Diceros bicornis minor: one gene and its partners. The main gene of each other region encodes a partner of the protein of the gene in region 2 in a complex. Links are inferred from orthologs where the notes say so. Each region holds a gene or a part of one and is shown on either strand. Other genes may lie near its edges.

Region 1 (7,772 bases), on a different chromosome or scaffold from region 2:
TTGAAGCATATTGCAGTTACATTGCAACAACAATTTCACCAAAGTAAAAATCATCAGAAACTATGTTTTTCTAAGCAATTGTGCTGGTCTCAGTAATCCTTGATAAAAACCTCAGTTCTAAAAGTGGGGCTATTCACAACTAGAAGGATGTGCAACTATGACGTACAGCTATCTACTGGGGCTTTGGGGAAAAAAAAAGGAGGAGGATTGGCAATAGATGTTAGCTCAGAGCTGGTCTTCCTCAGCAAAAAGAGGAGGATTAGCACGGATGTTAGCTCAGGGCTGATCTTCCTCACAAAAAAAAAAAAAAAAAAAAGAACTAGTCTTAAAAAAATAAAAAATAAATAAAAGTGAGGCTATTCGACAGTTCTCAGCACTGGATTAAGTTCTTTCCTGATTCCCTTTATTGGATCCTCCCTGGACCTCTCAGTGACCTGTGGCTCAGTGCTTTGCCCTATTCTCAATCTACACTCACTCCTTGGATTACTGGCTTTCAAACTTCTGCTCATGCCTCATAATAAGAAATAAATTTTACAATGCAACTCATTATACACTGAATAAAACTGAAACAAAAGAATCACAAAGGAATATCCTACTACATGAATTTATCTGATACTTTTTACTTTGTGCTTCTTTCTTCTTCTTACTTTTTACTGCTGGTTAGTACTCACTAGATTGATTTGATGACCCGTTAAAGGGCCACAACTCACCATTTAACAGCACTGTTCTAGCTGATCTCCAATGCCGTGGGTTTAAATGTCACCCACGACTCCTCTGGTCATCTCAGCTACACCCTTTCCCCTGAGCTTCAGGACACCTATGTCCTACGTGACATCTCCACTTGGGCATTTTTCTAAACCTGTTCCTCTTCCCTGAGTGGTCACGTAAAATGGCAACGCCCTTCACCCAGATTCTCGGGCCTGCAGCTCTGAAGTCTCACTCAACTCCTTTTTCTCTCTCATAATCTACTATTTCTACCTTTGAGATATATGCGAAATCCAACTTCTTAGCACCTCTACCACTATCACCTTAATTCAGGTCATCATCAGCTCTTATAAAGACTACTGCAAAAGCCTATTAACTATTTTCCTCCACCCTCCACACAACAGTCCATTATCCAACAATGGTCACAGTGCTCCTTTAAAAACATAAACCAGGGGCTGGCCCAGTGGCGCAGGGGTTAAGCTCGTGGACTCCACTTCAGTGGCCCGGGATTCGTGGGTTCAGATCCTGGGCGCGGACCTAGACACCAGTCATCAATCCATGCCATGGCAGCGGTCCCATATACAAAATAGAGGAAGACTGGCACAGATGTTAGCTCAGGGACGATCTTCCTCACACATACCAAAAATAAAAAATAAAAATAAATAAAAACACAAATCAGATCACATCCTCTGCTCACAACCATTCAATTGCTTCCAAGCACACTTAGAATAAAATCCAAATTTCCTATCACGGCCTATGGGGCCTGATGTGCTCCTCGCTATCCTTCTTTTCTGACCTGATCTCCCACCCCTCCTCCCTCTTGCTCACCCCTCTCCCAGCCAGTTCTCTGTGCTGTTCTTGGAGGATGCCAGGAACACTTCCACTTGAGAATTTTTGTGCTTGCTGTTCCCTCTGCCTGCAAGATATTCACATGGCTTGCTCCTTTACTTCACTGCGGTCTGTGAATATTAACTTAGAGCAGCCTCTCCTGACAACCTGAATTGAAAGAGCACTCCCATCACCCCCTTGCCCCTTATCTTGCTTTCTTTTACTTTATAGCACTTACCACCTGACATTATATCTCCAATGCTTAACAGGACTCGAATTTTCATTCAAGGAATGAATAATGAAAGTACATAAATGAGTAACAGTAATCACTGTAATGAGAATACCACTGAGAACTTTGTCTTGGTACAACACGAGCCTCATTCTTCTTGACACCACTCTCTCTTCCAAATGAATAAATCTACTCTAAGAGCCAACTACGTATAAATTAAACGAAGAAACAAGACCACCTCTGTGAGCTGAACTGGAAAAGTATACCTAGAATCCACCCAAACACGTAAGTAAAGCAAGCATAGATGTTTTTATGTGTATTGATATTCAGACAAGAGAACTGGGAACCAAACTAGATTCTACACACTTACTTAGCAAGTAGAATATTTATACACCAAGAAACACAAAGTAATGGATAGGAGCCTATACTCTGGAGCTCACTAATGGTCCAAGTCCTGGTTCTGATATTTAGTAGCAATATAAAACTTTTCTGTCTTAGCTATGTCATTTATAAAATGGAGACAATAATAACAGTATTTACCATATAGTGTGTCATGAGAAGTGAACAATGCCTACCATATAGTGTGTCATGAGAAGTGAACAATGCCTACCACGTTAGCAAGACCCGAAACAAATACTAGCTAACATTTTTCATTTATAATCTATTCCAAAAATTGACACTATTAAAAAACACAAATTTTGATGGGCAAGCCTCAAATTATGTTTATATTTCCAAACTTCTCAGGAAAGGTAAGAGATTCATGTTGAATTGAAAAGGTTTCCCTACAAATATTGAAAAAATCTGTTTGTTACTGAGGCTGAAAGCCAGGGAGTCACAAAATAGTAGAATATAAATATGATACACTAAGTCCACATGCATATTAACTGCTTATATTGTACAAAGTAGTTCAATACTTTACAAGTATGAAAAAAATTACAAACTCATTTTTCTTAAAGATTAAAATGTAAATTTAAACTTATTTAAATTCCCTACTACATCAAATGTTCAACACTGTAAATAGTAGAACTTAGCTTGTGTTTTATACATTTCACAAAATAACACTATTTGGTTGCAAGTCTCATCCTATTTTCTTACAATAACATAGATTTTTAAAAAAAAATGCTTCCCCTAGAGTTAGACAGCAGCTAATTACCTTAGATATTAAAGATTAAAAAAGGAAAGAAAAAACTGAGCTGTTTCAGTGTTCATTACATTATATAATATGGGGATACACATATAGTTAAGTCCTAGAGGACAAAATCCTATGATTAAAATGAGCTGTTTTCTTATCTGGGCAAGAAGTGGAAAAAAAAAAAAGTTTAAAAGTAAAAAAGCTTACAGTAACCTTAGCCATAAGGCAAGTGTGCCATCTTCTCTCTGGAGAATCAGGGAATCCTCTGTTGCCATGGAATCATGATGCTTGCAGCTCAGCCTGACCTCATAATTGACAGGGAGCCACAGCAGGACATGCTACTGCCAGCAACACCAGCTAGCTGAAATAGGAGTACTGAAGCCCACGGCAAACAACAGCTTGTGAGGATCTCAATGGTTTAATCCCACATTCCAAGTACTAATGGTAACTGAATTCAGTAGGCTACTCTGACTACGTGAAGGTAAAAACAACACATGCTAAGGAACTGTGCAGACCACAGATGTTTTAATTGGCCTCAGAATTTGTTAAGTTTCAGGGTCTGCTAAACTGTTGCTGTTAGGCCAACTGGATACTCTGTATTTATTCTTATGTCAAGTCACAGGCGATACAAAAGCTACAAAGTAAACACAGGTTTTTAAAAAAAGCAACCTTGATGGGTCCACTGCTACTGAAGTTCAAGTTTGAGCTCTGCTTAAAGCATTTAAGCAGGCAAGCGGAGTAGAAGTGTAAAAAGAACAGAAGAACTGATAAACCAATTCTTAAATCTGATTTTTTTTCACCGACTTATTGTTGAAGTTAGACTTCTTAAAATGATGCCTTCAGATGTAACTCAAACATAATTTCAAATAATGAGTATGCTTGAGACAATTCCCTCAGTAGTGTATACTCCCTACCAGGGGTTAAAAAAAAACCTCACATAGCTTAGTATTTCATTTATTAAATATGACAGCAAATCGCTCAGCTGCATTTATAACAAAATTATTTTCACCATCTTAAATAACCGTGATTACATGTTTAAAATAGTCACATCTCTAGTTCTTGGCAGCGTTTGCATCTCCCCCCTTAAACACAGTTTCTATAGAAAAGCTTAGAAAAGCAGAAGTACTCGGCTTCTTTATCAATAATTCAGCGCCAGACCTCTTCTCAGGTGCCGGCATGTCCCCGACAGTCGGGAACTCCGGGCGGGGAACGGGACCCCGCCATCAACAAAAGGGCAGTCCCTACCCCACGCGGACAGGCTGGGCGGGAAGCACCTGAGTCAGCGACGGCTGAGAAGCCCGAGCAGCGTCCACGCAAGCTCAACTCAAACCAGCTCCGCGCAGAGCCTGAGGCCGTCGGGCGGGCACGGAGCCTCGGGGCGGGGGGCGCGGCGACCCCCGAGCCGCCCGCCCCGTCGGCAGAGGCCCCGGACCGCGCGCCCGCCGCAGAGGGGGAGGAGACCGCACGCCCGACCGCCGCAGACGCCCGCGGCCCGGCGCCCTCCTTACCGGTCGCAGCGGCGTGGCGCGAAGGGGCCTCCGACGCCCCCTCGGGTCTCGGCCCCCAGGCCGCTCGCCGCCGGCCAGGCCACGGGAGACACGCCGGGCCACACGGGAGCCGGCGCGCCGGCCGTCATTCATACGCAGCGGACCGGAAGCAGAGGGCGGCGTCACTTCCGCCGTCGCGCACCCAAAGCGCTCCCCCTCGGCCGGCCGTGGGAACCTCGGTCCGCCCGCTGTGGGGCGGCGGGGCGGGCCCGGGTCGGCAGGGGCCGCGGGGAGCGCGGGCGGCGGCGGGGCGGTGAGTGAGGGGCTCGCGGCTCCGGGACCGGCCGCCGTCCGAGGCCCGCGCTCCCGGAAGGAGCCCTCGCGGGCGGGAGGGCGCGTGGCCGGGCTGGGGGCCCGGGCTCTCGAGGCGGAGGGCCGGGCGCGGGGCCGGTGCGCTCCTGCGTCCCGGGCGCGGGCGGCGGGGCCCGCGTGCACGCCCGGCTCGGGCTCGGAGCCGCCGGGCCCCCGGCGCCGAGTTCCCGCAGCCGGCGCTCCGAGGGCGGGCGGGCCGCGGGGCCGGAAGAGGGGCCGCGCGGAGGCGGCGCCGTCTGCGCTGCTCTGGCTTCCGCTCCCTTGAGGCCGCGCTAACGGAGCGGCGGGCGGGGACGGCTGGAGTCTGCCCGCGTGTGCTTGCGGGGCGGCGGGGAAGCCGCCGGCGCTGTGCGGCACGAGGGCCGCCGTCCTCGGGCCGCGTCGGAGCGCTGGCCGAAAGCGGGAGAGGGACGCCTCCCTTAAGGCACTCAGGCGTCGCCGTGAGAAACCCCGTGCAAAGCAGGGGCTGGGGTGGGGTCGGGGGAGCTCCTCCGAGGGGGCGCGCGTCGGCGCGGGCTCGCGGGAGGGCGCGGACGCCAGCGCTCCCCAAACGGAGAAGCGGGTGGAAGGGGCAGGGCCGGCTAGCGGCTCTGCTGCCCGCAGGGTCTGGGGACGGAGAGTTCAAGCTTCTGCGCCTGCTAGCAGGTCTTCTGAATGCGGGGTCGGGACGGTGGGTTGCAGGGCGGGCCCGAGGCCCGCTGGTTCGGGGTCCCCGCGCTCCGCGGGTGCGGGTGCCGGCGCGGCGTCCCCGCACGGTGGAGGGGGGTGGCCCGGGCGTCGGCGCGGGGCCGGTCTTCCTCACACACACACACACACACACACACACACGTTGGGTTTTGCGTTGAAGGCATTGGGAAGCCTTAATTTTTGAGGAAGAAAATGAAAAAGAAGTGCGTTTCAGGAACATTAACGTGGCAGCAGTGTTGAGGTCAAGGAGGATAACTCGATTATTGCTGTAGTACACAAAAGCTAGTAAAGACCTGAGTTTGAGTCTAGCGGTGAAGTGAGAAGCAGAGGCACCCGTGGCAGATGTTGTGGAGTCCGCGCCCCGGGAAAGGCCTGCTGCGGGTTTGTGTGTGAGGAGTGGGGCGACTCCGTGAGGGACAGATCTAGGCCTCAGACCTGCTTAACAGACTTGTCATTCGTTAAAGCAAGTGCCCGACAAGGAGATAGGGGGAGACTCTCATAATCTCAATGTTAATCGTACCTGAACTTGAGATGGCTTTAGGACAACCAAGTAGGCTATCTACTAAGCAGGTGGGAATGCGGGATTCGCGCTTGAGAGAGACTGGAGTGCGGACAGACTTGAAGTCCTTCCCTAGAGGTGGTGGTTGAAAATGTGCATCCGTTAGATTGCCAAGGAAGAAGCTGGTAGCAGAACTAAAGGAGACAGACACGGACAGATACGTAGGCAGTGCCAAGAATCGGAGAGACGATGAGCCAGAGGAACAGGAGGAAAGCGGAGTCAGCGTAATAGAACCCCAGGAGGAGGAGGCTTTTTGGAAGAGGACGTGGGTAATGTGTATTCAGCTGGCCAGCATTTACTGAGTCCCTGCTGCCTCCCGGGCACTCTGCTGGACACACACACACCGTGGTCGGTGAGACCAGCCCCGTGCTGGCCCTCACAGAATTGTGTTCTGGTGAGAAAGACAGGCACACAGTGTGCTAACTATTATGAATAAGGACCAGATATTTGGGGACCATGTAACAGTTAAACTTTGTATTTTGTCAGGGGAATGTGCAGAAGATGAGACTTGAAGGATGAACACGATGGGTTATGGGACACTCTCTACTGAAGTGCTGGTGTGAGAAAGAGTGTGATATGTCGAAGGACTTGAAGTGACTCGTGTGGCCTCAGCAGAGAAGTGGGGATGGCCTGAGGTACTGGGTGACGTTTAGTGCGTGTGTACTCTGTGCCGGGTACTGTCGTCACTGCTGTACGTGTGTTACCAGACGATGTAGGCGTCAGAGACGGTGTTCAGAGTCTTATTCTTCACCTTTGGACAGTGAGGAGTGAAGAGTGTTCTAAGCGGGAGAGTGATATGAGGAGATTTGGAGGGAACAGGGTGGTTGTGGGGAGCCTGGTGAAGCTATTACAGTGGCCAGAGGATAGGTGGATGATGGTAGCTCTGTCTAGGGTGGGGATAGTAGTAAGGATTGAAAGGGTAGGTGAATTTGAGATATATTTAAGAAATCTGGTGATTGAATGGGGTGGTGAGGAAGTGGGAGGAGTTAAAGCTGGCTGGAGGGAGGGGGTAAGTATCACTTGAGAAAGGGTGTCCTAGAGGAGGAACTCGTTGGGAGACGAGAGGAGCTTGTGAGGCTCTGTTAGGGCCGTGTTCAGAGGAGGCACCCACCTCAGTGAGGTATCCAAGTCAGGCTGGCAGTCAGGTCTTGGAAGAGAGGCATGGGCTGGAGAGAGAAATTTATAATCACTGGCAAAAGGGTGTAGATCATATTGTCTAGAGCGGTAATTCTCAACCTTTAGAGTGGACCAGAATCACCGGGAAGGTTTGATGTGGATTTCTGGGCCCCACTCCCAGAGTGTTTCCTTCAGTAGGTCTGGCAGTGGAGACCACGAGTTTGCATTTCTAACAGGTTCCCAGGTAGTGCGTCTGATGCTGATCCAGAGGACGCATTTTGAGAAGGTGTAGAGTGAGGCAGGAGGAGACTCAGAGCCTGACCCTGAGGAACTCATTTTTGTTTAAGTGGAATAGGAGGAACCTGCAAAGAAGGCTAAAAAAGAAGTAGGAGGAGAAAATAGTATTTATTACATTTACCACTGGGCTGTGAATACTCTGGTGAGAGCATTTTCATGGAATGATGGGACAAAGGAAATGCGGCATAAGTAGAAGGAATGAAGAAAGAGTATAAAATGTAGATGACTTTCTGAGGAAGTTTTGCTATAAAACAAAAAAGACAGGATGGAGGAATCTTAAATATATTTAAATGTCAACGAAATGATGCTCGATGAAAAGATAGCAGTAGAAAGAAAGAGGCTGGGGGCTGGGGATGGAGA
Region 2 (7,081 bases):
AAGCCACTAAAGACCATTAAAAGAATACAATTAGTTATGTTGTAGAGTTCACAAACATCCATCTACAGAACGATTTGAAAAACAAAGTCTCTGTTTTAAAGTTAACGACTGCAACACAGGAATTCAAAGGGACTGAATCTTGAACAATTTAGGTGGAACTGAAGATCACATGCTCAGGATACCTAATTCTTTACAATTAAACAGTGACCCCCTCATTTCTGCCTCATTGCCTACAGACTAACATCCCACCACCAACAAATGGCCTAATGTGGCTTAGTAATGAGTTCCTAACTACCCCTCCATTTCTGCACTGCCCACAACACACACTTCATGGACCAGCCCCTTAAGCTACTTTTGGATCCTTATTGTGCTATGCTCTTTCCACCAAGAACCTGTAATGCTTTCCCCCTACAATACTCTTTTGGAAAAGCCTATTCTTTCCTCATTGTACAGATTAAGCCCCTGGGGTTACATGCAGATTTTTCAGGGAGTATCCGAAGGCAAGCGAGTTCTCAAAGAATCAATTTCTGGATACTCAACTTCCATATATATGCATTTCTAAAATTGATCTGTGGCTGAGGCTCTCTTTTCCCCTTTCTCTTCATCACTGCCTTTCTTCCAGTTTTCAAAAGAAAGGCATTTCCATACCCCAATCTTACACCTTGCATTCACCCAAGGTATGAAAACTTCTGAGACCCCAACTAAGAGATAACTGGATAATTCCTTTAATAAAGGGATTATAAACACCCAATTTCATCTCTTTAAAAGATATACTTCCAATAAAATTTTACTTTGCTTAATAATTATTTATCAAAATTAGTAACCTAAGTTGCTTTTATCAATTGCATACTAATAATTGTAATAATTTAATCCAGAAGAAACTTTTTAACACTTGGAGCCTTACGATCACAGAAAATTTCAATTTGGAGCCTTATAATTACAGAAAATTTCAATTTAAATACATTTTTTTACACAGAGGAGTATGATAGAGTGATCAATAAAATAACTTTTCAAGGTAATTTAAAATCAAATTACCTTAGGATAAATTCTATGGGAGAAATAAAGTGGTATAAATTCACGGGGAAAAAGCAAGTATGTACAATATCTAGCAAAGAGTTTGTTTATATTTAAAAAAAATGATTCATGTGATTATCAAATCACTATAGTATTTATATTCTATTAGATACATTTTAAAGAATGATGTAGCATTTTTATTTTAAAATGCCAATATTCACAATATGGCCAGAAATAATATCCTTTGCATCTGTTTAAACTTATGATAAAAACTTTTAAAAGCCAATTTAAAAATACACAGAAGAGTAATCAGATTTCCATTTTAGAAAGATCATTGGCAGCAATATGGAGAATAACCTGGAGAAAAAGAAACTAAGAGGCCATTTGGGAGACTTGTTATAATCCAGACAAGAAGGTATTAGGCCCCAACTTAGGGAAATAGAATGGTAAGCATAGAACAGATCCAAGATACGATGAAGAGGCAAAATCAGTGGGAACAGAGAGGAGGATGGATTCAAAAGATTTTAATGGAACTTTCTGAATGTGTATCTTGAGGAAAATGGAGGAATTTTGATTGACTCTCGGGTTTCTGGCTGGGGAAACTAGTTTAAAATAATGGGACCACTTCCTAAAGTAGGTAACATAGCAGGTTTGGGGGAAAAGTGAGTTCGGTTTTGGGTACGTGAGTTTGAAATGCTTGTGGGACTGACCATCTGGGTGAAGATACTCATCCAGCTTTTATAGGAATGGACATAAAGTATAGGGAAGGCAAGGTTGCAGGTAGCAGTGGAAGAAGCCCTGGTTACGGCTATGATCATCCGTGGGAGTAGGTAGAAGAGAAAAGGGGCCTAGGGGCCGGCCCCGTGGCTTGGTGGTTAAGTGCGCGCTCCGATGCTGGCGGCCCAGGTTCGGATCCCGGGCGCGCAACGAGGCACCACTTCTCCGTCCATCCTGAGGCTGAGTCCCACATACAGCAACTGGAAGGATGTGCAGCTATGACATACGACTATCTACTGGGGCTTTGGGGGAAAAAATAAATAAATAAAATCTTAAAAAAAAAAAAAAAAGAAAAGGGGCCTAGGATGGAACACCAACACCAAAGGGGAAAGGAGAAGAAAGTCCTACAAAGTTCAGTGCATAATTTATAAGAATGAAAGAATTTCAGTGCCTAGTTCATAACAATGAATGAGTTTTTGTAAAGGAACGAGAGAGGGGAAGAAGTAGACAGACAGATTGGAGAATTAGGAGAAAATCTGTCACAAAACAGAAGCTAAATAGTTTGCCCTGGGTCACACAGTAAGGAGTGGAGCTGGAATTAAAACTTAGGCAGTTTAACTCCAAAGACAGAGCTCTTAACCACCGTACATGGCACTGCCACTCATGACACAGAGGATAGACAAGTTACTCAAGCAAGGTCCCAGGAGAGACAGAAAGAGGGACATTTAGAATATAATTTAAAAGGTTATCTAAGAGGGAAGCAGGTAAGGAAAGCATAAAGTTTTAGACTGGGGGCAGGAAGGTGAGGGACTACTCCTCAGTCTCCTCAATATCCTTTCCCTAGACCTATGGCTTAAACATAAAAAGTTCCCTTCTCAGATTCTTTTCTTTATGTTTTCCACATGGTTTCAAGGGGAAAGAAGACCTAGTCCATCTTTAAATGAATGAGATTTCATTTCTATCCATGCTGGCCTGTGTAGTAACTCCCTTACCAGAAACTTAAAACGTTTCAGGTTGATGACACCCAAACCTAAGCTTAAAACTCCTATTGCCAATGCTTTAACCTAAGGAACCTCAAGAACTGTAGAGAATAAGTTAGATTTCTACATACTAACAAGGAAATATTTCCAAGTTATACCATTAAAGTGAAAAACAAAACAAAACCATTTTGATCCCATTTCTGTAAATAACGATACATATTACCTTTGGCATTGAAAAACATTTGGTATAATACACTCCAGTCTATTAACAGTGGTCCTCTCTGGGGGATGTGGTTATGGGTATTTTCCACTCTTTAATTTCCAATTTTTATGCCCATGTAGTAAACAGGGGGAAAAAATTTTGACCATGCTAGAAGCTTGTGTTCTCTGCTTGACTGAGTTCCTTAGCAGCGAGCGGATCCTATTCACTGCTGTATATAGCAAATAGTAGGGCTCACTAAGATTCTACGACAAAGGAATGAATTAATCAATGAGTACGAGTCTTGACGATCTCACATGGCTGTTGAGAGAACCACAAACCTACAAAAACGCATGCGTTTTCCAGTTAATGTGCAACACAGATCTACGCCGTAAAGGAGGCCAGTTAGTTCAACTTCCCTCCCTCCGTCAGCCTACATTACGATTAAAAAAATCCCGATTACGATTAAAAGTGTCCCTAGGGCATATAAGTGCAGCTTTCGTCAGTAGTTCTCGCTAACACGAACTCATTCTGGCCGTGGGAGAACGGCCACCGGGGCTGGGAAACAGAAGCGGAATCGGCCTTGGTCCGAGGTGTTGTTTCGGGGGAGGCGAATCCCGCCAGCAACAAGCAGCAGTTATGGCCGTTACTCACCATTTTTCGGGACGCCAAACTGGGGCTGGCGGAGCACCGAATTGAAGAGCATCTGGGCCGGAAGAGCAGGCTCAAGTGAGGGAAAAGCCGTGGAGATGCCCCCAGGTTCGGCAGAAAGCGTAGCTTGCGCTGCTCACAACACGATTAGTTATTGCCTCCAACTCCCGCCACTGTAAGCCCCGGCCACCAAACTCCCCGCCAAACTGACGTCACGCCCTCTGATTGGCTCCCGCCGCGGCGTCCGGGCGCCTCCAAGTCACTTCCCCCTTCGAATCCCCGCCTTCTTTTCTCCCAGCCGCGGGAACCTAGAGTTCACGAGCTCCCTGAGCGCCTGCGCAGGGGGCCGCAGAGGAGGTGGCGAACGGCAGGGTGACCAGGGCGCATGCGTAACACGGCTTGACAGAGCGCGGAGGAAAAATCCGCGAGAAGGTGGTGGAAGAAGATGGCGGTGCTGGGGCAGAGTTTGCAATCTCTCTGAATAGACTAGTCGAGTAACTAGTCGGGTCATGGCGTCAAACTCAACTAAGTCTTTCTTGGCAGATGCCGGCTATGGCGAACAGGAGCTGGATGCTAACTCTGCCCTTATGGAATTAGACAAAGGTATTCGAAAGAGCGGGCTGAGCGGGTGAAACGGGCGTGGGGGAAGTGGCGCCACCAGGCGGTGGTAGCCTCGGGAGAGGCCGGGAAGGCGCATGCGCATAGCCTCCCTGGGCGGGGCCGGCTGCCTGTGCTTTTGGTGAGTCCAGCGCTTTTGCTGCTTCAGGAGATAGCAGGAGAGTTGCGGCGTTGCTGGGTTGGCCTTGCACCAGCTGAACAAGTAGCGAGCTCCAGTGGTGGGCCCGTTTTGACCGCCTGAGGGCACAGTTCCCCGATTTTCCAAGCAGTTTCTAAAAATCCTAAATTGAAACTGTGAAATTATTTTTCAGTACGTTCAGTTGAGACCAACTCGTAACCAAGAGTGCTAAATAATAATCTTGCACTGATAACAGCGATTCATTTGATTTCTGTACCTCTGTTACCTGCTGGTTACTAGGCGGATTAAATACGGCCAAGACCCTCGGAAAAGCATAGCCCCTGCTCCTCCTCTGCAGACAAATTTCACGAGTTCTGTTTCCTTACGGGGGCGGGGCGGGGGTGGTGCTGGAGGGCAGCTTGGTGTGGTTGAAGAAGCTTTGGAGTTAGACTGAGTTGAATTCCAGTTCTGCTAATTTTATGGTCTTGGGCAGGTTACTTAACTTCACTTAACCTCAGTTTTTTGTCTGCAAAGTGGGTACAGTATCATTGAGCTGACCAGATTGTTGTAAATATTAAGTGATATAATGATACGCAAAAGAAGCCTTTATTAAGTCTAAAGAGATATGCCTTCTTTCTAGGATATGGATATGGGAAGCAAGGGCAGATATTTGTCAGTAAAGAACTCAAGTATTAAAATGAAGCCTTTGTTTCAGTGTACTTCAGTGGTTTTTATTGAACGCGGGAAGCATTTTGTCACCTGGTATACAGTTAATTCTTGATTAACCATAGCCGGTGTATAATGTATTGAGAACTGGATTAGGGGTTAGAAGGATCTTTCTTTAAGTCCACTTTGAGCAACTCCCCAGCTCTCTGACTTGGACGTTCTAGTAACTTTTTTGGGACTCTGTTTTTTGGATTTGTTGGTTTGTTTTTTAACCTGTAAACATATCTAGTGGGTTGGTCTAGATAAAGGTTTCTCAGACTTTTTTTTTTTTTTTTTTTGTGAGGAGATCAGCCCTGAGCTAACATCCGCCAATCCTCCTCTTTTTTTGCTGAGGAAGACGGCCCTGGGCTAACATCCGTGCCCATCTTCCTCCACTTTATATGGGACGCCGCCACAGCATGGCTTACCAAGCAGTGCGTCTGTGCGCGCCCGGGATCCGAACCAGCGAACCCCGGGCCGCCGCAGCGGAGCGCGCGCACCCAACCGCTTGCGCCACTGGCCCGGCCCCTCTCAGACTTTTTAAAAAGCTTTTAACTCCTTTTGATCAACATGAAAGTGTCACAACACTCCAGTGATATAATCGTTTGGTTGAATCACAGTATCTTTAGCGCATCCCCATCCGCCAAGAAAATGATGTTGAGCTTTGCTTTCTCTTGCCAAAGCTATAGGATTTTTTCCCTCTGAAATATAAAATTGTGACTTTAAATGTGTTTTTTTAACACTTCGTAATCTTTTCCTTCCCATTCTGATAATTCCTTCCTTATTCCCCAGTGAGAGTTGCAGGTCCTGATATGTAATATCCTTACCAATTCTAAGACATTTTCTACCACCTTGGTGGGCTCGTCTCATAATGACAGTAAAACAGTGCTTGTAGAACAGAGATCACAATGGGACTCCGTATTAGAAATCTAGAATTGTTTAATTCCTAAACATTTGCAATTATGGTAAGAAAAAAATACATCACAATTTTTCATTCTTAAAAGTTGAAATAGATATATTTCAGATCTATAAGAAATAAATGGATGGCTATTGAGCGTTTAACTGTAAACCAGGTGTCAGTCCTAGATACTAAGGAAGTGATATATTGTTCAGTCTTCTCAGCAATGCCCTGGTGAGTATTTTTCAGATGAGTCTCAGAAGGATAGATTGGACACGACGAGAGCAAAACTTTTGTTCTTTTTCACCTCAGCATGCTATACCTTTTAAATCTGTTAAGAGATTAGATTATAGAAATAGCCAGTTTCATTAGAATATAGTTTAGTATTTTAAATATTGAGTCATTTCATCCTTTAGCTGTTAAAGTATTTCTGTTTTGTGAGCCAAAGTTCAGAGGGTCAGAAGGCTACAGATTCCAGCTTTCTTTTAGTTCCAAAACTTATAGACCAGTTTCAGAAAGTGCACCCCAAGAAATACTATTTCTGAAGTATTTTAATAGGAGTTTCTTCCTCCGTATCCTCTCGCCCTTTTCTTCTCTCTCTCCCTCCCTCTCCTGACAACATACAGACACTCAGACACTCACACTCACATACATCACTTATTTGATCAGGCTTTGTGCTAGGGAAACAGCAATGAAACAAAACAAAGCCGCTCCCCTTATTGAGTTTATATTCTGGACAGAGAAAACAGACAATAAACAAATATAGTAAGCATGTATTGTGACAGATAGTGATACATATTATAAAGAAAACAGAAACAAGTGAAGGGAGCTGGAGAAAACTGGGTATGGGGTTGGAATTGGTTTGTTAATTTTATATAGGATAGTCAGGAAAGGCCTCACTGATCAAATAAAGGAACAGCAAATGCAAAGAAAGGCCTTGAGATAGGAGCCTGCTTTGCTTGCTGTACCTTGAGCAGAGTGATTGACAATGAAGGTAGAAAGATAATCAGAGGCCAGTTCCTGTAGGGCAATGCAAGCCGTTGAAGAGACTGACTTGAATTCTGAATGAAATGGGAAACCATGGAGGGTTTTCAGCAGAGATGTGACATGATCTGACTTACCTTTGAGAAGGATCAGTCTGGTTACTATGTTGAGAGTAGACTGAGAGGACAGCCAGGGAT
Region 3 (8,081 bases), on a different chromosome or scaffold from region 2:
AATAGAAACAAAGTGACTGAATTGCAACATATACTTTAAACGCTATAGGACTATACTCAACCATTTCCAAAGATGTTTAGGTGCTGAACTGTTACCCCTAAGAAGTAAAACGTTTAAACATTTCTAAAACAAGGGAACAATTCTGTTTCTGTCCATATAAAGCAACCAAAAGTTGTAGTCATGGGAAGAATTTCCCTGAAACTTGTGAAAGTCATGAAAATTGTGCCTCGTGCAACTTGGGAAAAGAACAAAATGTATACCTAAATGTATCATTGTGGTAATAGTGCTTTGTACAACATAAAAACTGAACTCCTTGGGTTTAATATTCCTTTGTTTTGTGTTAACAATACGCATTCTTCAGTATCTTTTATTTTCCAGGTCAGTAATCTCAAAAAAAGTTTTAATGGACCACCTTGCATTATTCTATAGTGAACCATCATGTGATTCAAAGCCCTTGTCTCATAATAAATGAAAGCAAGTACTGCACTCTGGACCTGCCATTTAATTCAGGAATGAATTAAGAATTCTTCCTGTATAGTTGCTTACTGTATATGCTTCAAAAGCTGAGAAATCTTAATGTACTCAACCAGTTATTGCACTCCAGTGAAAATTTCTCACCTCTGAGTAGTTATACAATATGGTTAAATTAAACCCTGACACAACAAATAGAATAATTTCTTCTAACATTTCTCTATTTTATACTAATATAGAAATGAAGACCACTAATCAACTAGTGTATGCAAGTCACTGCAATAGTTGCACAATTGCCTGTGGGTAGAGTATCAGAGAAACTGAGTGTGGTGAGGTAGGATGTTTTCCCTTTTACGTCCTGAGTGAACTTGAAGGGATTAAAACCAAATTCATGTCAACTTTATATCAAAGAATCCAGATTCTAATTCTGAATACAAATACATTTTTAAAACATGAGGGCTATAAAACCACATATAGCATGGTCAGGGTTTCACTTTTGCATTATGTGCACATTCTGTTTTAATCTGAAACGTGTTATACTTGTATTTCATGTTATATAGTTTTGGGGCCGGACTGTGTTTTTCCACAAAAAGAAAAATCAACTGTTTTTCCACCTTAATATTCAACCTACCTGCCCATAGTTGTCTATGCCAGTTACTAATCTATTTAAATTTAATAAATCAAAAGCTGTCCTTAGGGATTGGCCAAGAGTCGTAAGTCCTTCAGCCTGAAGGTTTTTCAGTTCATTCATAAACGTTGCATGGTTTTCTTTCCATCCGGCCTGAAAAGAAAAATGTAAGAATTTTTTTTTCATCTTTTAGAGTCCTGTGTACAAGGACAGGCGTTACAATCTGCCGTTCACCAGGTAGCTGCTTCACTTTACAGTATGGTTTGGTTAACGTGTCAATACCGGATCGCTGCTGAGGGAACTCTCTTCCAAAAGTGGCCAAGAATAAACCTGCTGGCTCTACAGTTTCTGGTAGCGAACAACCTTAACACTTTAGAGCTTCCCTGGGAAATTCACTCCCTAACCTAATACCCAAAATCTGGGGATGCAAAGGTACTAGTGGAAAGCAGAAGTGAGCAGGACTTCGGAAGTTAACCTACAGCTGTCCCACCGGCCCCGCGGCCCTCTCAGCACGAATCCGAAGACCAAGCCGCGCAGCCCCCCACCCCGCTCGCCGGCCCGCCAGCCTGGCGAGCGCGGCCAAGCCTCGGGCCGATGCCCCTTTAATGCAAACCGGGGCTCGGCGCGGCCGGGCCCGGCTGTCACTCGGGCTAACTTGAATAAATATCCCCCACAGTTCATTGCTGCCGCTCACGCCGCGGAGGGGAAATGTCGGCCATGTTGATCGCAGCGCCGCCGCCGCCGCCACCGCCGCCGCCGCCGGGTCGGGCTGGGGAGGGGACGGCGGTGGCCCGGCGACTCTGCGCCGCGCCAGGACGCTCCGGAGCGAGGGGAGGGAGTGGGCGCCCGCAGGGGAAAAGACCTCAGCGCCTGGAGCACAGCGGGTGGGGGAGGGGAGCATAATGAAGGGTGAATGGGGGGGCGGGGAGGGCGAGCGAGGAAGGAACAGGCAAGGGAAGGAAGGGGGAGGGCGAGGGCTGTTACCTTGATAGCATAGGGCGGCTCTTCGAAAGTGACCAGCATATACCTGTCTCCTCGGCTGGCAGGGTCCCGGGCACGGAGCTGCGGGAGAGCGGGTGGGGGACGGGAGGAGGAACAGGGCGGGCGAGAGGGAAGCAGAGAGGCGAGGTTACGAGGCGGAGAAGGGGCGCCCAGCGGCCCCACCGCCCCCCACAGTACCGCACACGCAGCGGCCACCCCTCCGCGCCGCCCCCCGCACACAGATCGGCCCCCACACACCGCCCGGGGCCGGAGCCCGGGCCCGGGCCGAGCCCGGCTCGCAGCGCCCGCCCGCCCGCCCGCGCGGTGGGGGAGGGGGTCCCCGAGCCCGGCGGCTCCCGCAGTCAGGTCCCCGACACCTCCGCCTCGCCGCCCCCGGCCTCCCTCCCCCCACCCCTGCCGCCCGCGGCTGCCGGGCCGGGGTCGCCGCCCGGGCTCGGTCAGTCGGTACCTTCATGAAGGTCTCTACCGCGCCTTTGGCCGTGTCCAGGTAGGTGGTGCCCAGATGGCTGCGCTGGTTCATAGAGGCAGACGTGTCTATCAGGAACAGTAAGATGGGCATAGTGCTGGCCGGGGACACCGGGGCCCGAGGTGGTGGAGCAAGAGGAGATGGTAGAGGTGGAGGCGCCGGTGGCGGCGGCGGCGACCGCCGCTACGCGGGGCGGGGGAGCGCGGCCCCCGGGAGGAAAACACCGTCTGGGTCTTTCCTCCGGCTGCGGGGAGTTTCTCCCCCGATAGTTGAGAGGAAACTCCCCAGACCCAGTCCTCCCCGTCGTACCCCCGCCTCCGCCTCCTCCTGCCTGCCTGCCCGCTGGGGCGGGCGCCCGGCCGTCTGTCTGTCGGTCCGTCCCCCCCGCCTCGGGGGTCCCGTCCCCGCTCCCGGCCCCTGTGTGTGTCCCAGCGGGAGACGGGCCTGGCTCCCCACCCCACCCCCGGTGCAGGGAGTGGGGACCTGGGAGCTGGCGAAGAGGGGAGTGGGCTGAGGGGAGATTGGCCCTGGGGCTGTTGGGAGAAGTTTCAGGGACTCCCTCCGCACCCCGGCGGTGTCACCACTTTCTCAGCCCCTCTCGCTACTGAAGCGCTTTTCTCTCTCACACTCCGGTTTTAACTCGGGCAGGGGCTGCAGAGGCTCCGCCCCCTGACACGTCCTTGAGCCATGTGACGTACCGCCCCGCTATTCTATTGGGCAGTCCCCAGCCTCTTATTAGCATATTCAAACAGCTCAGGGGCGGGGGAAGCTTGTGGGCCGGCTCCGGGAACAGTTATTGAGCACGCGCGGAGGCGGGGCGTCGGGTGCGCGCGAGAGGGAGCGCGAGGGGCTAGCAGGCGGGCCGGGAGACACGGAGGCGGGCTCCGGGAAGGGGCGGGGACGGACCGCGGAAGCACCGCGGGGTGGGGGCGGGGGCCGCGTCGGCGCGCGCAGGGTGGCCGCGGCTGTGAGTCTGCGCGTCAAGGCGGCCGCCCTCGCCTTGGCTGTTGGAGGTGATAGGGGTCGGCGGAAGGGAAATGGAGGCTGGCCTCAGCTCTCCTTCCGACGTCGCTGAAGCGAACCCTTTCCCCGGTGGGCGACTGAGAAGGGGATGAGTGACGTGATCAAACACCCAGTTAGGAGAAGGGGGCAGGGCCGCGGTCGCCCTCCCGGGAAGGGCTGCGAGCCCACGGCATCGGGAGGAGTTTCCTTGGGCCTCGGAGGGCCGGCCCCAGTGCGGGCGGGCCCGGGGCGGGGGAGGGGAAGTGAGAGGTTGTTTATAACCAGGGACTAATCTCCGAGAGTCACACCGCTCCCGCTGGGGAGTGGGGACCAGAGGCGTACCTCGCCCGCAGTCTTGCTTGGCCCTGGGGGAGCGACCAAGGGTAAGGGCTGGAGCTGGAGCAGGGCAGAAGCCCCCCTCGTTGGAGGACCCTCCAAAAAGGGTACAAACCCCCTTCCTAACAGCCCTAAAAGAGTCTGGGGGAAGCCTCAAATATCGATAAACAGTTTGTACCCTTGTTATTCTCAGGGAAAATTAACCGGTGTTACCCAAAGGAATACCTTTCTCAAGCCATGTTTACCTAGGGCCATAGAATATCAATTTCAGAGCTAAAAGGGACCTAAGCCAGTCATAATCCATTACTCTTATTTTAAAATGAAAAAACTGACTTCAGTTTGCCCAGGTAACACAGAGTGTTCCCCATAACCGTGCCGGTGCACTTTCCTTTCACTGTATGGTGTCTCTCGGAGTCGTTCCAAATACTGTATGAGGGAAAACGTTCTCGGTTATTGAAGCAAGCCCCTATCATCATGCCTGGGGTAATGAATCCTCTCTCCTAAATGTCAGAGAAAACGGTTTCCTCAAATATACTCTTTGAAAGACTGAAGACTGCCTGAAATGCAAGTTGAATTAAGGACATACAACCCTTATAAGACCAGGTAGATTTTTATAGGACCTCTTCTACTAGCCTTGCATTTCGATTTTTATATTCTTTATCCTGAAATTTTTAGTTATTTGCCTACCGATCATTTAAAGAAATTGGTCCTTTTGACGTTAACACAGAAGAGACATGGTTTGTGGCACTTTTTTAAAATCTGGAGTTTCATAACTTGGACTTTTACTAATATTTAAGACAACCTATGAAGTTTTTGTTAATTTATAGTAGGGCTATTTCAGTAATATGCTGTTTTGTATGTACCATAGAAGAAGGAGATGTTTTTAAGAGATTTGGACTAGAAATAAGATGAACTACAGGTCTTACATCCAATATTTGCTGAGGACTGGTGGAGTTAAAAAATTATGAAAATATGGTCCCTGCCTTCAAAGAGCTTATGGTTTTTCTAGAAAAATATTACACGTCAATTATTAGCTACTACAAGGCAGAAAGTGATCAGATAGTAAATAATTTAGAAAAGAGAAAAATTTATTACCCTGGGGTGACGAAAGAACAAGTTTCCAGGGTCAGTGTGTTTAAGCGGTGCGTTAAAGCAGTGTTTCTCAAACTGAGATCCTAGACCTAGAGATAAGAATCAGTTCTTTGATACTCTAAAATTTTTGTTTTCATTTTAATGACAATATACAAATCACTTTACCAGTTATAAGGACAAAATTTTTCTTTCAAAGTGATAATTCACATCTGAAAGAAATTTTCATATAATTGGTCTTCAGTTTTCTGTATCAGTGCTTTTCAAATTGTGTTCTATGGACCTATGCCTGTCGGAAAATGTAATCTCTAAAATCATAAGAATTTCTTTTACATTATTCAGATTTGAGAAACACTGCTTTAAAGGATTGGTAGGATTTGAATATGTGGGTAAAGAAAGAGGAAGTTGCTCATGAAAAAGTCCTAGACATTGAAAATGTAGTGAAGAATGAAAGCACAGCATTGCCAATGCTTCCTGGGGTACAGGGAAGTTCAGCTGGGCTGGCGCACCTGGTACACAAAGAATAGTATAAGATCCAGAAAGTAGGTCAAGTCTAGATAGTACAGGGCTTTTATTCCAGGTTAAGGATATTTTTCCATATAAACTAGAGTTTTAGTTGAGGCGCTGAGTACAAAGTAGTGTTTAAAGGAAATCAAACTAGACTACTGAAGTAGGTGAGCATGCATTAACAATGACCTTACCTATTACAGTTATTTGAAATCATTTCCAATGGAGCCATCATGGCTTTTTCTTCCCTGACTCAGGGGAATTGGCAGATTGTCATACTAGGGTCTGGTAGAGCCAGGATTAGATGCAGAGATCAGGAGAGCCAAGTCCAATGAGCCAACCTAGAGCATATAACCACCTAAGATCAAAGGCCAGGTTTCCAGTTCAGAAGCCCAGAAGTGCTGGAAGCCAAAGCCCCGAGGCAGAACAGGAAAGAAATCAGGATGTACACAGGGGGCAAATCAAGAGGCAATCAGAAACCAGGAAGCATTGATGAGTGGTCCCTAGACAGAATTGTGAAATAGGCCAAGGTTATTCTTAGTGACTCTGGTTGACAGTTAAGCTGTTGGTTTGATGATAGCTTAAAGCAGTAGTTCTGGGCCAGGAGATGCACATCAATATTACCCACAGAACTTAAAAATAGTAATAAATATACCAAATCCCCATACCTGGAGGAAAGTGATTCGGTAGAATTGGGATGGGCCCTGGTCATCTCATGCTTTAAAAAGCTCTTCAAGTGAATCTTATAAATAATCATTAAGAACTATATGCTTAAAGTATAAGAATAATGTATGTGCCTAGCATCTAATAGTACTCACTAAATAACTTTAAAAATTCACACCCTCTTAGAGTTATTACATTTCTTAAAAGAACTCCTAAAACAAATCTGCAAATTAAAGGAAAAAAAAAACTATAAATGTGACAGCAATATAGATAACAGTAGATTTGATTCATAAGCGTATTTAAATTGCTTAAATTCTTGACCAAAAAATAAAAAGAAGTAAACAGTGCCAGAGATTCCCACTGTTCCCGTCAGTGAGCTTAGGCCTTGGAGTAAGCATAAGATGTGAAACATGAATCTCTTCTTCACTCAATCTCTGTGATTCCAGAATGTGATTCTAGAAAGATTCTGGTTATATTCAGGCTTATTTTTCTAAAACTTGCAAGCCAACTATTTCATCAGACTCAGCTGAAGAAACTGAGCTCCTGCAGTGCTCGAGGGAGACGTAGTAGGAGTATTGTGGGCTAACCCTGTCCTGTTGCAGTCTAGTGGCTTAGGAAAGATTCTCCTGGGAGGGCAATGATCAGAAGAGGTATGTGGGGGAAAACTTGCTCTTTGCTGCTGTTTTTAAAAAAATGCTGCCCAAATGCTATGCCCCCAATTTAAAAGGGAAGGAATAAATTATAGGAAACCTTCTGAAAGAATGGTGACTCTGGCTTAAACAATAGGCTAAATTGTTGAAATGGAGCTATTCTAACAGAATTAAGAACTGATGAATTAGATTCATTTGTAGGAGCCAACCAGAGCCCTTTTAAATTATTTTAAACCAATTAAGCAGGGCAACACGGTTTAAAAATGATTATGTGCCAATGACTTGGCTTATGGTCTCTGCATGCGCTATCTGAACAGAATAGTCAGATCAACCTAGTGTTCCCTCATGTGTAACCTAACAAAGTTTCTTTTGACTGTCTTACCATTTTCCCAGCTCTCTGCTTTACTCTTTGAGATCACAATAGTCAATGATGTTGAGGTTGAGAACATCAAAAAAACATGAAGCAATAAGCATAAAAAGTTAGATGTGAAATTATGCAGCAGAATGTATTCAGATAGTACATATATAAGGAAATTTAATTTTGGTCATCCTAATATTAAATAGTGTCAATCCTCAGAAAAAAATGCTGCTAGAGACCACTATTATAAAGAAATCAGGGCTGGCCCCGTGGCTTAGCGGTTAAGTGCTCGCGCTCCACTACTGGCGGCCCGGGTTCGGATCCCGGGCGCACACCAATGCACCACTTCTCCGGCCATGCTGAGGCCGTGTCCCACATACAGCAACTAGAAGGATGTGCAACTATGGCATACAACTGTCTACTGGGGCTTTGGGGGGAAAAAAAAGATAAATTAGACCTTTCCAACGAACAGTATTTCACAGAAATAGCTGAAGTCTCAGAAGATTCAAGATCAGTCCTGAAAATGGACATATCCAAATTGAGAATTAGAATTATAGTGGAACATTTTCTCTAGTAAAAGAATATGAACATTGCAGTAATTCTTTCAATTAATATTAATTGCATACCTACTATGTAACAGGCACTATGGTAGGCCATAGACAGTTTATAATCTAGTGGAAAGGCAGAAGACAGATAAACAGATAGTGAGAATACACTAGTATTATGATAAGTCAGCAGCCCCCGGGCATGATATACTAAGACCTGTCTTAGAGGATTGTTTTGAAAATGCGAGGTAACATACCATATTTCATCAATTCTGAGACACCACGGGTTCTAAGAAATGCCGTTATTTTTGGACCACTGAAAGGGAAAAAATGCTGCTAATTAAACTATGACAATGCTTTCTTA

Evidence for each region. Proteins that work in one complex are often made in the same cells at the same time.
Region 1: INTS7 (region 2) and INTS12 share a complex: the UniProt entries of both Homo sapiens proteins name them as parts of the integrator complex. The link is inferred for Diceros bicornis minor from reciprocal best matches to the Homo sapiens genes INTS7 and INTS12.
Region 3: INTS7 (region 2) and INTS6 share a complex: the UniProt entries of both Homo sapiens proteins name them as parts of the integrator complex. The link is inferred for Diceros bicornis minor from reciprocal best matches to the Homo sapiens genes INTS7 and INTS6.

The regions. Positions count from the first base shown.
Region 1 is NC_080750.1:1,890,590-1,898,361, reverse strand, and holds the start of INTS12 (integrator complex subunit 12), read left to right. Parts: upstream 1-4,616; 5' UTR 4,617-4,694; exon of another isoform or gene 4,695-4,707; intron 4,708-5,151; exon of another isoform or gene 5,152-5,224; intron 5,225-5,572; exon of another isoform or gene 5,573-6,393; intron 6,394-6,411; exon of another isoform or gene 6,412-6,592; intron 6,593-6,615; exon of another isoform or gene 6,616-6,634; intron 6,635-7,772. Other genes in the region: GSTCD (glutathione S-transferase C-terminal domain-containing protein), read right to left, coding at 4,403-4,534. UniProt on the Homo sapiens protein: Component of the integrator complex, a multiprotein complex that terminates RNA polymerase II (Pol II) transcription in the promoter-proximal region of genes.
Region 2 is NC_080743.1:77,746,320-77,753,400, reverse strand, and holds the start of INTS7 (integrator complex subunit 7), read left to right. Parts: upstream 1-3,923; 5' UTR 3,924-4,070; coding exon 4,071-4,164; intron 4,165-7,081. Other genes in the region: DTL (denticleless protein homolog), read right to left, coding at 3,565-3,616. UniProt on the Homo sapiens protein: Component of the integrator complex, a multiprotein complex that terminates RNA polymerase II (Pol II) transcription in the promoter-proximal region of genes.
Region 3 is NC_080748.1:25,855,993-25,864,073, reverse strand, and holds the start of INTS6 (integrator complex subunit 6), read right to left. Parts: upstream 3,157-8,081; 5' UTR 2,661-3,156; coding exon 2,550-2,660; intron 2,162-2,549; coding exon 2,084-2,161; intron 1,253-2,083; coding exon 1,103-1,252; intron 1-1,102. UniProt on the Homo sapiens protein: Component of the integrator complex, a multiprotein complex that terminates RNA polymerase II (Pol II) transcription in the promoter-proximal region of genes.